Linked DNA regions of Rattus norvegicus. The protein of the gene in region 2 purifies or fractionates together with the protein of the main gene of each other region. This does not show direct contact. Links are inferred from orthologs where the notes say so. Each region holds a gene or a part of one and is shown on either strand. Other genes may lie near its edges.

Region 1 (3,500 bases), about 11 Mb from region 2:
AGGTTAGCGTGGCCTGTAAGGAGTGAGGTCCCACTTAGTATGAGTGAGACCTTACTTCAAAATAAAGAAACGAGCTAAAAATGAATAAAGTCCCACAAGACTCTTACCTCTACTTTCTCTTTCAGTGCTTTAAACATGGACAAAATAACATGTTCTTCTTCTATCTGATGAACTTCTTCTCGACTAGGCCAAATGTCATGCAGGTAAATGTTCTTGCCTGTAGAGTCAGTACCTGATCAAAATTTCAATATTCAGTACACATATTAAAACAACAATGGAAAACCAACACCTCAAAGCTTTCTTATCTTTTCAAAGAATAGTCACGGAAATCAAGTAACTGATTTAGAACAGGGTGTGTTTCAGGTTTAAGTACTGCACGCCAACTGCATCTGCATCTTCTTTCTTCACATCAGCAGACACATTAATAGCAGAAAAATGGACGGTGTAAGGGAGTAACAAGCACTGCGTGTTTTCTTTCACATCAAGAATCTGTTTTAACAACTTCTGGGAAAAAGTGCACACAAGTATACATATAAACATACAGATAATATATAGGAAAACACACCTAATGGCTCTGTCTGGAAATCTATATTCACTGTGCCTGCTATGGCGTAAGCCACCACTAAGGGTGGAGAGGCGAGATAATTAGCACGGACACAATCACAAAGACGACCTTCGAAATTTTTGTTTCCAGATAAAACTCCACAGGTAACCAAATCACCCTAAGGGGGGAAAACAAATATACTTGATTCAAGAACTTATATATACTCACACAATTATAAAATTTGTCTCAAAAAATATAGTTCTGAGAGCCAGACAAACAAAAAACATTTCATTAACTTTTAAGTACAGAACTACCATTCTTATACTTTAGTAGTTCCTTATATTACTAAGGAATTATTTTTAAAATGTAGAAGTAATTCTTTGTATTACTTTAGGATCCACAAGTTACTCTTCCCAAGAGTTTCAAGTATAAATATCAACATACACATTGATGTACACTGTCTGTAATTCACTAACAAGATACAGTTAAAACGAGTTGGGGCAACTTTCAAAGAAGCTCACAATCCCACTCATAAGTATGTCTACTTTTTAAAATTAGCTTCTATTTCTTAACCCTGATGCTTAAGTAGATATTGAAGTATCCTTATTAAAAACAAAAACAATAAAAACACACCTAGATGTGCTAAGTCACATTTTACCTGTTTTACTGCATTCAAAATTGCTTCTGATAAAGGTGCTGTATTTCCTACACACGTTGAACATCCATAGCCAACTATTTCAAACCTGCATTTGAAAAGTGAAACATGACTGGATAGTATATTTATAGAGAAAGGACAAGTCTTATCTCTTTATTTCTGTTATCACAGTAAAATTACTGTTTTGCCAGCAGCACATTAATTTCACAGTTTTAAACATTAAAGTTCACTGGTAGCATGATTTGTACTGACTTTAAGTCTTACAAGAGCTTACGTATCTACAAGATCTGTACTAGATCAAAAGTATTTATCACTCAATATTAGAAAGCTCCTCTATTATAACTAGAACTGTATAAAGCCACTTTTAAAAAATCCACGTGTTTCCACTTGAAAGGCTCTAAAACATTAGGATGCCGTTACTCTAACAGCTCATTGAAGGTCCCAAAAGGGTAAGGAGACACTCTAGTGGGAGTACATCATTCAACTCTCAACTTCTCAAAGCACACACCTAAGAAGAATCCCTGACAGTAATTCCAAAATAAGATTACAAACATAAGCCTCTAAATTACTTTAGCTGCTGTTCTAAAGGCAAAATAAAAAAATCTAAAATTTATGAGGCTTTTAATAAGGACTGATAATTTATGTAAAAATATTATTTTCCAAAATTACACTATCATCACTTAACTAAGAAAGAAATGTAAAAGTTGTTTATCTTAAGCTTCACAGAAAATTAACCTGCATATTGTAGACCCAATAACTCTGCAAAACCTGAATCAAGACAATTTGTTCAATTCTCCTCACTGCTCCCCAATACAAGGTTTCTCTGTAGCCCTGTATGTCCTAGAACTACCTCTGTAGACCAGGCTGGCCACATACTCACAGAGATCCCCCTGCCTCTGTCTCCCAGGTGCTGGGATTAAAGATGCTCAATTAAATTATCCAACTTGCATTATTTTTTTACTCTTTTCTGAACTGAACATGGTTCATGAGAACTGGGTACTCCCTCACACCACTCTAACAGTGTCCCCACTGTGACTTGGTTTCCCGTCCTGAGGTTACGGACCATGCGCTTGACTTCCAAGTGCCTTGGTGATAAAATATTCCCAACGACCACCGGCTCCACAGACACCAGACTGTGTGATGATGGTAAGGGACAAGTGAAAGGCTCTCACAGTCCCGAGCACGGCAGGCAAGCATGGGCGCTGACAGGTTTTGTCTTTCATCTTTCCTTCTTCCTTGCTAAAAACCATTAAACTATCTTCTTAAAGCTGGTTCCCAAGATCAATTCCCCTACTTGCCACTGACTCAATTCCTGAGACTAAACACCAAGGTTCATCAATCAAAATTCATTATCTGGCTAACATATCTAATCAAGATTTACCAACTCATCCTAGCACAGATCTCCCTTTTCTCCTTAAAAATCCACTCCTGCAACAAAACAAAACAAAACAAAAAAACCCTGCTTGCTTCTTGCTGCTGCCACCGCCACCTGCCTTTGTAGCCTCCCCATCTGCTTGCCCCTCTGGGTATAAAATCTCCTTTGTGCTGAGAATTTGGTGTTTGGGTGTGTCCTGGACTGACTCTGAGGGGACTATCCACCCTTTTAAGTGGTATTTTTCCTTTTTACTTCTCTCTTTGATTTCTAACAAATATATTTATCACCTGTTGAATACCAGTCTAGGTGTGAATAACAGTAAATGTCACTTACCCTAGCTTGCTAAGGTAGGGTAACACTCCACTTGAACTGAGGTAATGTGTAACCATCCCACTGCCTGGAGACAAACTTGTTCTTATATAAGGTTTAACTCGTAGACCAGTTTCAACAGCCTTTTTAGCCAAAAGACCTGTAAAATCAACAATGTGTCCTTACCTTCTTCACATTAGAATAAAAACCAAGAAAAGGATGTCTTTAATATCATACTACAATTTATAGTAAAAAGCTCAAATTCATAAAAAAAGTTTAAAGTTTACGATTTTTTAATATCTATGAGTGCTTTATCTGTATGTACACCTGCAGGCCAGAAGAGGGCATCAGATCACATTTATAGATGGCTGTGAGCCACCATGTGGTTGCTGGGAGTTGAATTTAGGACCTCTGGAAGAGCAACCAGTGCCCTTAACTGTTGAGCCATCTCTCCAGCTTATAAAACCTTAATATCATTACTCTGTGCATTTTACTCTACATATTCAGTTCACTGAAGACAAATGAAAATTCTTAGTAAAGAAACATCATGCTGCAAATTATTATGGGTAGGCTAACACCATACCATCACACAAACAGGGGAAAAAGAATATGCATAC
Region 2 (4,193 bases):
ACGTCACTTATAAGAAAACAGTTTGGTAGAGAAAGGAGGTGCAAAGGGGGAAGCCAACAGAGCAGAGAATGCATCCTGAGGGCCTTGGCAGGAGGGTGGGGCAGAAGCTTTAGACAGAAGTTAGAATCTTGACAAAGCTCAGGGACTTTTGAGTATAGTTTTTAGTTCAATGGAAGGTTGATAGAAGGAAGATCAAACTGTGAAGGGAACCGGGTAAACCGGAGCAGAAGAAAGGGGAATCGAGAAGGCAGCAGCAGCTCATCATGCCTCTGGCCTACGGAAAAAATGAAACAGAATAAACAGATGAAACAGAGAGTGCTAATCGGAGGGCAGGGGAGAGAGGCAGACCTCAGGTGAGTGGGCTGGCCTTCTCAGGACCCTGGGGTCTGTCTTGTCACACATACCTAGTCCAGTGACTGCAAAAGCAACCAAGAAAAATGAACCCATCAACCTTCCCTTCTCTAGATTATCTTCTGGCCTTACCGGCGAATACGGACAGGAAAGAGGATAAAATTCCCCTTCACTTAGCAGGTTATTATGGGATTTGGGAAAGCAGGGTTTCCCCTCTCCTATCCTAGGCTTCTCCTTCTAAACTTAATTTGTAAAAGCTGTGTTATGTTCTTTGAACACCACTAAATCCTGAAATTAAGCCTTATCCCTTACTGAACACCTCCAGCTTTCTAGTGATTTGAGAAGTTTGATTTCTTTAAAAAGATATCAAGCTTGTCCCCACATTACTCTTCTAATCTCCCCTCACCCCCAACTAAAAGTGTTTGCTGCTCTGTACTGACTTGAAGGCAGGGAGAGCCAACACTTCTGGCCTCCAAGGACACACACAAACTTAAAAAAAAAACAAAACTTTTTTAATAGTTAAAAAGATAACTCTTTCATTTATTTTTTAAAAGTTTCAGTGGGTGGTGTTGGTTCTAAGACGGCTCAGTGGGTAAAGGGACCTGCCACCGAATAAGCCCAACGTCCTGGGTTTCCATCCCTAGGCCCCACTTGCTGGAAGGAGAAATCTAACTCCAGCAAAGTGTCCTCTGACCTCCGTACTTGCACTGTGACTTGCATGGGTGTGTGCCAACACAAAGTAACTAAATGAAGTAAAAGCCATTTAAAACTTCAGTATTCGATTCCAGTCTACTATCTAAAGAAACAGCCAACCACACCTCCACCTGCAGTCCCTGACTATCAGCTGCCTCCTTCTGGACAGCTAATTCTGTCTTCTCACCTCCACATTTTCTTCAGCTTATGCAACCTCTGACATATCCAGGTCCAAATTATTCTTCAAGGCCTAACTCGAGTAACTGTCTAACATCCTCACAGATATTTCCAGTCAATTTATCTTTCTTCTGAGTGTCCATATCTCCTACTTAAGCTCATGACCTCTGACTGAATTTTGTATTTTTGCTTATGTAGGTGTCATTCAATCCAAATTTGAGGACTAGAATCATCTCTCTTGCAGAGTTGTATCTCTGGTGCCCGGAAGTTTCCAGGTGCTATACACAGAGGTGATGGTAGGACAGGAATGTTTTGTGGAGATAGCACACTAGTAATTATCTTCTGCCTGGGGTTAAGTCATTAAGTCAGCCTTGCCTCCCTACCAAGAGATAAGGAAACCTGATTAGCTTCCCAAGCCATTCCATTTTTGGAATCATTCTTCCTGGCCTAAAATCCTTACCTAAATTGTATTTGTATGACCAGCTCTCTTGGTGCTACATCTAGGTCTTTTCGCTGTCAAAAAATAGGGCTAGCGGTGGAGCATACCTAATTTGTATGAGATTCTGGATTTTCTCCCCAACCCAGATAAATAATACTATAAATGGTGAGAGAGAGAGAGAGAGAGAGAGAGAGAGAGAGAGAGAGAGAGAGAGAGAGAGAGAGAGAGAGAACGAACGAGGACGAACAGGCATTATATTTACAATCACAAGTTTGGTTTTCTCTGCTCCTTACTGACAATGTGACCTCTGCGTAGTCGTTAAACCACCATCTCCCCGTCTGTGTAATGAAGACAGTCCCTCAAAGTGTTAAGTATCTGGGAGAATATATGCACACACTTAACTGTGTAAGAAAACTGTACATTTAAAGCCTCGCGCTGAGATGCCTATTCCTACCTCTTTACTTCCTATTGAATCTGTCACAGAAGAGAGTATCTGTGACCTTGGGTCAGTCCCCAACTCCGCCACTACCTGAGTGGCCTCAGTTATGGCGGGAGGAACCGCGTCCAGTAGCTAAAGAAGGAAAGACTCTCGACTAGTGAAATCTTAGGCATGCTTTGCTCCTTGACCACTGCAAGCTCATTCTGCCCACACCTCTTGACATAGTCACTAAAGTAGTCCAGGGGAAGGAAGCGTTTATGAATTCCAGGCTAAATTTCGCTCCTGGTTTAGAAATAGCCCGACATTGCTGTGTGACTTAGGACCCGGAAGAACACGCTTCCCTCTAGGTCTGGCAAAATCCCCAAGTGTCCACTCCAGCCCAAAGGTGAGGCCCTCCTCCACCCCCTCTCCAAAAAACCTTAAATGGTGCTCTGGGTAAATTACCATAAACTTCTAGCGCTTTCTCTTCCATGATCCGGGGCTGCCAGGCAGCTCCCTGCTCAGAAAAGCCTGAGAGCCATAGGACCCTGCTCAGCGTCCAGGAGAGCAGCCCAGACACTCGCTCCATCCTGACGTTCCGCCATCCCTGGCGACTGTCCCAACCGAGCCACCGTCTTTCCGCAGCCGATCTCAGAAGTTAACTTCCTGGACTTCAAATAAACCAAGACATGTGTAAAGGTTTAGGGGAGCAGAGAATAGGCGGGACTCAAAACAGTAACGCGAAGGACCTAGGGAAATTAACAGTAAAGACTACATGTCCCAAGATGCTTTGCTGGATTTAGATGGCACAGAAAAATCCTTAAGGCTCGTTAGGCGCATTGCATGCTGGGATGTCTAGGGGCGAAGTAGCCGAGGGCCGTCGAAATGCATCTGGGGCTTGTAGTCTCAGCCAGAGGATCGTGTAACGGACTGTTAGGCGTCACCAAGTGCCCCACACAGTTCCTAGGAAGAACTAAAGATGAATCCTGAAGAGGTAGGGAAAAGGAGATCAAGGTTACTACTATTGGAAGGTCTTCTAGAACAGAGACTTTTCTTTCTTAGAGGAAGCCACTTCCAATTTTTTCTTACTTTCTGATCAGGCCGGAAGTGGGTTTCCTTTGCGGTTAAAGAGGCTATTTTGGGAGACAAATGTTGATAGGCATGGCCACGGACAAGGAAGACTTGGTTTTCTTGTCTTCTAGAGACTTAGTCCAGCTCAACTTCTCTCCATGGGGAGTATATCTACCAACCACCACCCCAATTACAGCGAGAGAACTTTCTCTGTGTTCACTATGTATAGTGACGATAATGGAGATGACCATCCTAAAAAGGCATTTCTTAAGCTTTCTTGTGTTCTTGGCTGTGATGAGTGCCCATTACAGAGTTGATTGTGTTTCCACCTCACAATGTATATGCAGGAATAAAAGTTACAAACTAAGACACTCTCCCGACCTTCAAGCAGTTTACAGACTGTAAAGGAATCCACCTCTCATGTTGAGTTTGCAGTTGCAAACAGCCAACTTCGCTAGGCCTGGTGGCTTGTGCCTGTAATTCCAGCACTTGGAGGCCGAAGGAGGAACATTGCCACCAGTTTGAGGCCAACTTTGGATACAGAATTTCAAGCCCGTTTAAATGAGACTTTGTTTCAACCAGAAAAGCAAACCAGGTCTGTTGGTTTTAATGGCAGTTTTCGTGTCCTTGAAAAGAAAGGGTCATCTTGCAGAATTAGTTCGTGATAACATAACCTACGTTATCTTTTAACTCTAGTTGACTGCGACTCACCAACCTATGATTAAGTCCCAGGAAATTTTGATCCAATCCCAACAATATCCCTGCCATTTCACTTCATTGTCATCGGAAATATAACCCCAAATTCTTAGAGATCGAATTTAATACACTGAGATCTCGCCTTTGTGTAAAGCCTGGTTTCTCCCAAAAGAATCGATAATGTTTTTTATTGTTGCACACTGTAACACTGAGTGTGTTTAAATTGTTGATTTACAAGACTGCCTCATTAAACTGTAAGCACTCATTAAACTGTGAGCCAGGAGCTTTTGTATTTGTATTTGAAACGCACAGTAAGGTGCCAAACTCACAGTGAATGCTCTGTATATA

The links. The genes of interacting proteins can lie anywhere in the genome.
Region 1: the proteins of Ciao2a (region 2) and Ireb2 purify together in Homo sapiens (affinity purification with mass spectrometry; 3 studies listed by BioGRID and IntAct, with this or other methods). This does not show direct contact. The link is inferred for Rattus norvegicus from reciprocal best matches to the Homo sapiens genes CIAO2A and IREB2.

Annotation. Positions count from the first base shown.
Region 1 is NC_086026.1:64,192,088-64,195,587, reverse strand, and holds part of Ireb2 (iron-responsive element-binding protein 2), read right to left. Parts: intron 3,044-3,500; coding exon 2,908-3,043; intron 1,288-2,907; coding exon 1,203-1,287; intron 723-1,202; coding exon 566-722; intron 233-565; coding exon 108-232; intron 1-107. UniProt on the Homo sapiens protein: RNA-binding protein that binds to iron-responsive elements (IRES), which are stem-loop structures found in the 5'-UTR of ferritin, and delta aminolevulinic acid synthase mRNAs, and in the 3'-UTR of transferrin receptor mRNA.
Region 2 is NC_086026.1:75,564,227-75,568,419, reverse strand, and holds the start of Ciao2a (cytosolic iron-sulfur assembly component 2A precursor), read right to left. Parts: upstream 2,801-4,193; 5' UTR 2,668-2,800; coding exon 2,544-2,667; intron 1-2,543. UniProt on the Homo sapiens protein: Component of the cytosolic iron-sulfur protein assembly (CIA) complex, a multiprotein complex that mediates the incorporation of iron-sulfur cluster into extramitochondrial Fe/S proteins.